Linked DNA regions of Oryzias latipes. The protein of the gene in region 1 interacts with the protein of each later gene in a biochemical or structural test. Links are inferred from orthologs where the notes say so. Each region holds a gene or a part of one and is shown in the gene's direction. Other genes may lie near its edges.

The links.
Region 2: of the proteins of top2a (region 1) and pias4, one has a biochemical effect on the other in vitro, tested with the Homo sapiens proteins (2 studies listed by BioGRID). The link is inferred for Oryzias latipes from reciprocal best matches to the Homo sapiens genes TOP2A and PIAS4.

The regions. Positions count from the first base shown.
Region 1 is NC_019877.2:4,655,597-4,658,417, reverse strand, and holds the end of top2a (DNA topoisomerase 2-alpha), read left to right. Parts: intron 1-187; coding exon 188-340; intron 341-519; coding exon 520-700; intron 701-771; coding exon 772-824; intron 825-907; coding exon 908-1,021; intron 1,022-1,459; coding exon 1,460-1,683; intron 1,684-1,767; coding exon 1,768-1,917; 3' UTR 1,918-2,139; downstream 2,140-2,821. UniProt on the Homo sapiens protein: Key decatenating enzyme that alters DNA topology by binding to two double-stranded DNA molecules, generating a double-stranded break in one of the strands, passing the intact strand through the broken strand, and religating the broken strand.
Region 2 is NC_019862.2:7,817,124-7,821,625, reverse strand, and holds the end of pias4 (E3 SUMO-protein ligase PIAS4), read left to right. Parts: intron 1-1,065; coding exon 1,066-1,226; intron 1,227-1,440; coding exon 1,441-1,592; intron 1,593-1,668; coding exon 1,669-1,934; 3' UTR 1,935-3,792; downstream 3,793-4,502.

The DNA.
Region 1 (2,821 bases):
GAACGTTTAAAAACGAGGTTTGAAATCTTTGCAGGGATTGAATGAATGGATGGAGGCCACCTCAACTACTAATGAACAGAGTGAATGGGTTTTCTTGATGCGTTTTAACAAAAAATCATGTCGACTAACATTTTCATGTGTAACTGGCGATTTATTAGGAAGTTTGAAGAGACGTTTTTTCTTCCAGCTCTTTCCAGCAAAGGGAAGCAAACCACTCTTCAGTTCTCGACCGTCTCTAAGAAGCCAAAGAAGAATCCGTGGTCGGATGAGGAATCTGAAGCAGGATCAGATGAGGAATCCCCCGTTGCCCCGAGGGAGCATGTGAACCGTCCCACCAAAGGTGAAACCGCTTTAGGACTTGAAACTGCCATTTTCAATGGATTTGAAAAAAAGCCCCATTTTTTTCCTCGTTCACTGGAACAGGTCCTTCCTGTTGCCTCTAACTATACAGATTTTCACTTTCCTTAAATTGGAATATTTTGCTCCTTTTCTAATCATGGCTCCTGTTTTCCATTATAGCTCCGGTAAAGTACGTTCTGTCTGACAGTGAAGATGAGTTCCATGATCTGGGAAAGACGCGCGCTCCAAAGCGGAAGGCCATCCTCAGTGACGACGACGCCAGCTTCGCGCCAGAGCCCAGCGTCCTCTCTGACAGCGACGTGGCCTCTCCAGCTCCTGCTGTCAAAGCACCAGAGCCGGCGTGAGTTCGAGACTGCAGAGGATGTCTATCCATTTCTGTCCAAAACTAACAGAAAATGTCGTGTTTTCCAGAAAAAAAGTGCCAAAGATGAAAACGGTTAAACCAACCAAAGTCAGCTCGAGCTGTGAGTGTCTACCTTATAATAACTGCTGGTAATGCGATGAAGCAAATTGACTTGACGGTTTTGTTCTTACTGGAATGTTGCAGCTCTGTCTGGGGATTCGGAGCCTCTTTCAAAGGCTCCAGCTAAAGTTAAAGAGGCGGCAGCAAAGAAGGCGGCTCCTTCCAAGAAAGCAGCTGCTTCAAAGAAGAAGGCTGCAGGTGAGGCCACCAGATCAGAGACTTCCCATTCAGGAGCCTTATTTCTTTAAAATAGGATTGTATTTACAGACCAAAGAGCAGAAACAGAATGCATTGCAAAGACGGCTAAAATGATTGTTTTTCTGTGGAATCAATGAGTTACATCTACAGGAAATCCAGTATTCAATTAGAAAAAAAAACAAAACAAAAGTGAAAGTAGCTTTTTGCCTTCTTAAAAACCCATTCCATTCATCTTTTGATGTATTTTGGAAGCGTTCTCAGTGCTCTTTGAACTATGATAATGCAATTTCTAAGCAACACAAAAAAACAAAAACTTGTTTTCTAGGAGGTAGTTTCTGCAGAGCCGCAGGAGTTCATTAGAAATTTCCTCCGAGTTGCCTGATGAAAGCTGTGCCATCTTAAATGACATTATTTGTTTTTTTGTTGTTGTTTTTACAGATGCTAAGCAGCCGTCCATCTTGGATGTTCTCTCAAAGCCTAAAGCTGCAGCCAAAAAGGTTCCTTCTTTTGACTCCAGCGACTCTGAGAGCGAAGGCAAAGCTGCAAAGGCGGCAAAGACCAAACCTGTTGTGAAACGCAAACAGAGCAGCAGTCATGACTCCGACAGCAGCTCAGACAACCTCATGTCACGCCTGAAGAACAAAGCAAGCGTTGGCACCAAGGTCAGTTCACACACTGGACTTCACCAGACTGTCTTTTTGTTTAAATCAAGACGTCATCGTCACCTGAAATGTTTCATTCTGCAGAAAACGAGGAAATGGGATGAAGATGATAGCTTCCAGGTCTCTGATGAAGAAGCAGCGGCTCCTGTTGCCGTGGCGCCACGAGAGAAACCCTCACGAGCGCGAAAACCTGTGGCCTACAAACTGGACTCGGACTCTGATGAAGACGTTTAAATTGATCTGTGGATCACAGAAAAATCCAGTTTTTCTTTGTTTTTACTTACAGAATAGACAGTTTCCTTGTTAAACAGAAGCCAGTTGAAACGTTATTGTTCCATAACCTTTATATGTTGTGTTAAAAATCTTTTCTCAACTGTTCCTGTTTTGTAAATATTTCAACGTGTGTTTATCCCAGTTTTTTAAAGAATAAAGTTTGTATTGTTTGTCGTAAATGTCGAACTTGATGACTTACAAGGTTTTGGAGTCTGCAAAAGCTACAAAGATGACAATAAGAAAACATGTCATATAAAATGACTCATGATTAAATGTCTCTTTTGCTTAGTCATTAACTTTATTCAGCTATTTGCAGTTACTTAAAAGGAAAGTAAGGACCAATACACAGGCTACTATGACATTTTGTGTTTTATCAAAAAATGTGAACACCAACTGATCAAATTACGCACACTTTGATTGGTGGAAGTCCCACTCTTATCTTTTTTCAAAGTGTTCCTAGCTGGTCTTAGTTCTTAGCTGCAGAGTAGAAAGCTTTATAGCTCCAATATTACTCACCAATGTTGATGGACCGCCAATGTTGGCATGGGATATTGAGCAACGGAAGCTAGCAGAAGAGCATTTAAACAAAGGAATAATGGCGAATCAGTGGAGGGTTACTTCTGCACCTACAGTTCCACCCTCAGCTCAGGTGAATTTGTCAGGAACTACTGCTGCTCTGCAGAAACTATGTCCTAAAAAGTGAGTTTTTTTTTTTTTTACTATAGTTTTACAAATAACTACATAATCAACTTGAAAAGGGTTTAAAAGATTGCTAAAAATTGTCAATTGTAAGACATCTTTCATCAGTATGAGATCTGATTGTCTATCAAGATTGTCTATCAACAAATTTTGGATTCTAAGTTGA
Region 2 (4,502 bases), on another chromosome or scaffold:
GGATGAGGAACCAGGTCTCGTTGTAAACAAACCGCTGCCACACAAACAGGCAGCATGTGCAGCAGCTCCGTAATACGAGACGATCTTCCAAACGTGCTTTTATTAATGTTAAGAATATTATGAAGCGCCTGTTCGCTCATCGTTTTATTTAATCCGTGTGGTCGGTGCTTTTTTGTGGAAGAATTAAGCTGGAAGAAGGCTTAGGGCAGGCTAACACGGGCTAACATCATTAGCCTTGATGGACACAAAATCCAGGACCGTGCGAGAAACGCAGCAATCTGCATCTTCGCTGCACCTTGGCTGCACGTAAATGTGTGGGAATAACATCAGCCTTTATTTTGTCGGGACACGACTGGAAACACAAATTCATGTGATTGTTTGAACTGTTTGACTGAGCGACATTTATTTCTGCTCTGAAAAGTTCACACAGACAGACCGCCCCAAAGCCACTCTGTGAGCTTTGCCTCTAAATGCAGTTTATGTATGTGATTCTAACCAGTTTAATTATGTTTCCTGTTCAATTACAGTGTGAAAAAAGTCATAGTCCGGGCACAAAGATATAAATACATTTGGTTTAACGTTTAATATTTCTGTCTGAATACGACTTACTTTGTTTTGAATACAAGTCCCCCATTAACTTCCTGTCAAAAATATGTTTTTACAGGAAGTTAATGTGAAATTTCGGATTGAAAAAAAGACAGAAATTTTAAACGTTAAATTTATTTATTTTTGTTTTGGTTTTATGGAGTCAAACATTTTAAACTCTTCCTCGGTCCATATGTATCTGCTTGGATGCATGAGCTCAGAGGTAATTTACCTGATATGCTGCAAAATGTTGATGAATAAATCCAGTTCCTAAAAGCATGTGAATGTGAACACTCTGTTGTTTAAAGGACTCGAAACATTCAACTGTAGGACTTGGAGGTGACGTGAGACTTGTTGGTTTCGACTTGGGACTTGAGACATGGGACTTTGTCCCTCCTGTGGTTCACTGTGACGTCCTGCTGCTGATGTTCCTCAAAACGCCATGACTAACCTCCACTCTCCTCCTCCTGTCTCCTCCAGCTGGTGAAGATGCGACTCGGCGTGCCGTGCCGAGTTCTGACCTGCGCCCATCTTCAGTGTTTCGACGCCGTCTTCTTCCTGCAAATGAACGAGAAGAAGCCGACGTGGACCTGCCCCGTGTGCGACAAGCCGGCTCCCTTTGAGCTCCTCACCATTGATGGGTGAGGAAAGCTGTGTCCAACATTTACGACTGAAAACTTCATCTGCACTCTCGGGCTTTGACAAGTTTTTAAGTCAAAACCACAAAAAATCAAAGCTATGTTTGTTTTGACCTTCCCTTGTCTATACGTGAGGACAACTTGAAGTGTTTTTGTAAGTCTGGGTTCTGCAGATCTTTGGCAGACCTAAAGGTTTTTATCCACATCTGGGTTTCAGGTTGTGTTCAGAGATACTGAAGCTGACGGGTGAGGACATCGAGGAGATCGAGTATTTGACAGACGGCTCCTGGCGGCCAATCAGAGATGAAAAGGAGAAGGAACGAGAGCGGGAGCGCAGTAAAACTCCAGAGTACTCGGTTGTTGACATATGTAAGCGTCTGCGCGTTTCTTAGAGCGCCGTCTGCGCCGCGTTACAGTTCGTGACCTGCTGGGTTTGTGTCTGCAGGCAGTCCTGAAGCCAACGGCCATTCTCCGGCCCACAGCAGCACCAGCCTGACGGGCCGACCCGGAAGCAGCTCCTCAGGGATGGCTGGAGTCACGGGAGCACCGGCAGCAGGAGGTGTGGTAGTAGATCTGACTCTGGACTCCTCCTCTGAGGAGGAGGGGGGTGGGGCTGGAGGGGACAGTGAGGACACTGAGGACAGCGCCGACAGCCCCGCCCCCAAGAGGGGACGATACAACTACGACAAGGACTTGGTCACGGCGTACTGACCCTGCAGTTCTCCTGACAGACTGAGGCAGAGGAGCATGGAGGTTCAGACCTGAGGGCAGAAGGAGCCTGATGCTCACAGCGCGTCACTCCTCTTCGTGGCGTCCTGGCAAACCAACGCCGGTTTCTGGAGGAGAACGCGGTGTCTCCATGTCCCAATGGGGGCTGCTCCTCCTTTAAGCTTGCAGTAAACCCCGTTCCATCCCGTTCCTGCTGTAAAGACTGATCTCCTGACTACTGCTGCCCCGCCCCCTTAGTCTCCAGACTCCTCCCCTTCACCGTCTCTTTGTACAGACTGTCCGCCGCCGCTGCGGACCTTCAGTGTTTGCATCACATTCTTCTCACATTAGTGATGGACAGGAAGTTGTAAGCCAGCCGCCTCTGTCCTTTTTTGTTGTTGTTGAAGATGAAAACATCAGATGAGAAGACATGAAGGTCTGAGGAGCAGGTCAGGTGGAGATCTTGGTTCATAGCATCAGTCCAAACGTTAACCAGATGTTTCAGGATCATCTGGTTCATGGAGGTGCAGAGCACAACACCCCCCCGAAGCTTTCCTTCTACGCGTCCTCGGATGGAGAAACCTACCTCAACCGCAGAAGCTCGGCCCACAGATCTGAGAGCAGCTCTGGAGCAGCTGCAGACTTCCTGAGATGTTTCTACACTGGACTTTCATACGATGTGACCCTGTTCTCGGTCCAAATCCAGGTTCACAGGTGAAGCTCTTATTTTGGTTGAAGTTCAGGATGTGGTCTGCCTGGCTCCTGCAAAGACGTTTGTGGACAGGAAGTGATGGGCGGAGCTGCGCGTTTGGGTCAGTGGAGACGTCTGAAGGTCAGAGGCTGTCACTCTGCAGCTGCATCACTGCGCTCTTCGCACTGCTCTGCTTCCTGGACCTCCTGCTGTCAGGTGGAGCGGCTGTTGTCCGTCACACATCTCACAACAGTTGAACCTCCCGTTGCCCCGCCCGTCAGGCTCCTGTCTCTGCTGATGAGCTCACACCAGAGCCGGCTTTGCAGGATCCGTTTTAGTCCCAGAGTGAATCTTCAGGCCGTCGCATCTCCCGGTGGAAGAGATGTTTGCACTTTGATGGAAAACCTTCAGAGGACTCGTTTGGAAGCTCTGCATGTTTTCATTTGTTCCTGCACTTTGTGACCCGTTTCCATTCGCCGTGGGCTTTAGGTTCTGAGGGTTTCAACTAGAGGGTCGCGCTTGTCCACGACACGTTCTCATCCGCATCTCCATGTTGCATTTGGATCAGAACTTCCTTCACAGCAGAAGAAGGCGGATTCATGGTTAGAAAAAGAAGCTGGAGTCAAATGAAATCTGATCTTCCGGTTTGGAAGACACGAAGGCTTCGGGTGTTCGAGGAGTTCTGCTCCTGTGGCTCCGCTGAAGGTTCTGTCCATAGAACTCCTCGTCTGTTGGAGGGTCAGGCGGCCGGAGTGGATCTCCTCAGCGTCTCGTGACATCATGGTTGGTGGGACCGAGCCGCGTAGATGGTTTGAGCCTGTGGGGTCCCTGGTTTTTTTTTCTTTTACTTCTCTTAGTGGCTTCTCTTTGTAAATGCAGAACGTAGCATGGCCGCCCGGTGGCTCACAGTTCATTATGTACGAGTTTGGTTTTTTAAATGTTCATAAAGACAATAAAATGAAAATCTTATTTTATTACGTCTGGAATTCCCCCTGGTGATTCTTCTGGGTGACAAAACGCTGAGTTCAGCAGCAGCTCTGGACGCCGCCGCTGTGGCCAACATGTTCCACGTGTGAGTCTGTTCAGGACGATGAAACTGTAACATAAAGAAATGTATTCTAACAGCTGTTATTGACGTGTTGAATTAATAAAATCTGTTCTTAAAAAACATCTTCGCCTCTTTTCTGGAACTGTGTGACCTGAGTCTCAACTTCTGCTCTGGGAGGAGCTGCCCACCTTCAGGAGGCATTTGCTCCTACTCCAGTGGTTCCTTCTCTTTTTTTCTGTGTCTCCTCCATCCTAAAGAAGCGTCAGCTGTGGTCTATCAGGTTCAGACTGAACTGCTCTAGGTTTGCTTCACTAAACGGGTGGTTTTGGTTGCAGCGCTGACTGTTCATCCTCTAATTTATCTCGGATGAAACGCCGCCGTCTTCTGAAAACCTGCTGAGACGTTTGCATGATGGCACCAAACTTCAGCAGAGATCTGCTCTTTGGAGATGTGTGCAGCTGAGTCTCTATGAAAAACACGTTTGATGAATCTTCTGAAGTTTACGTTTGAAAAGTCAAAGTCTCCAGAACTGCAGGGTTGATGGGCTGAAGCCGAAAGGCAAACCGGTCAATTAGCTGAAATTACATTTACACAATAGATGATTTTCTGCATTAAGATGCCAGCACCCCTTTATAGAAGTGTTTCTATAGCACAATTAAAAATAAAGTACCAGAAATGCTTATTCGTTATCAAAATGAAGCTGCAAAAAGAAAAAGCAATCCACCAAACTTCTTTTTCTTCTTCACTGCTCATTCTGTCACTTAATTCAAAGGATAAAGAAAATATTATTTGACATTTCATTTTCAAAAGGTTCTCTGGTAAATGTGTAGCA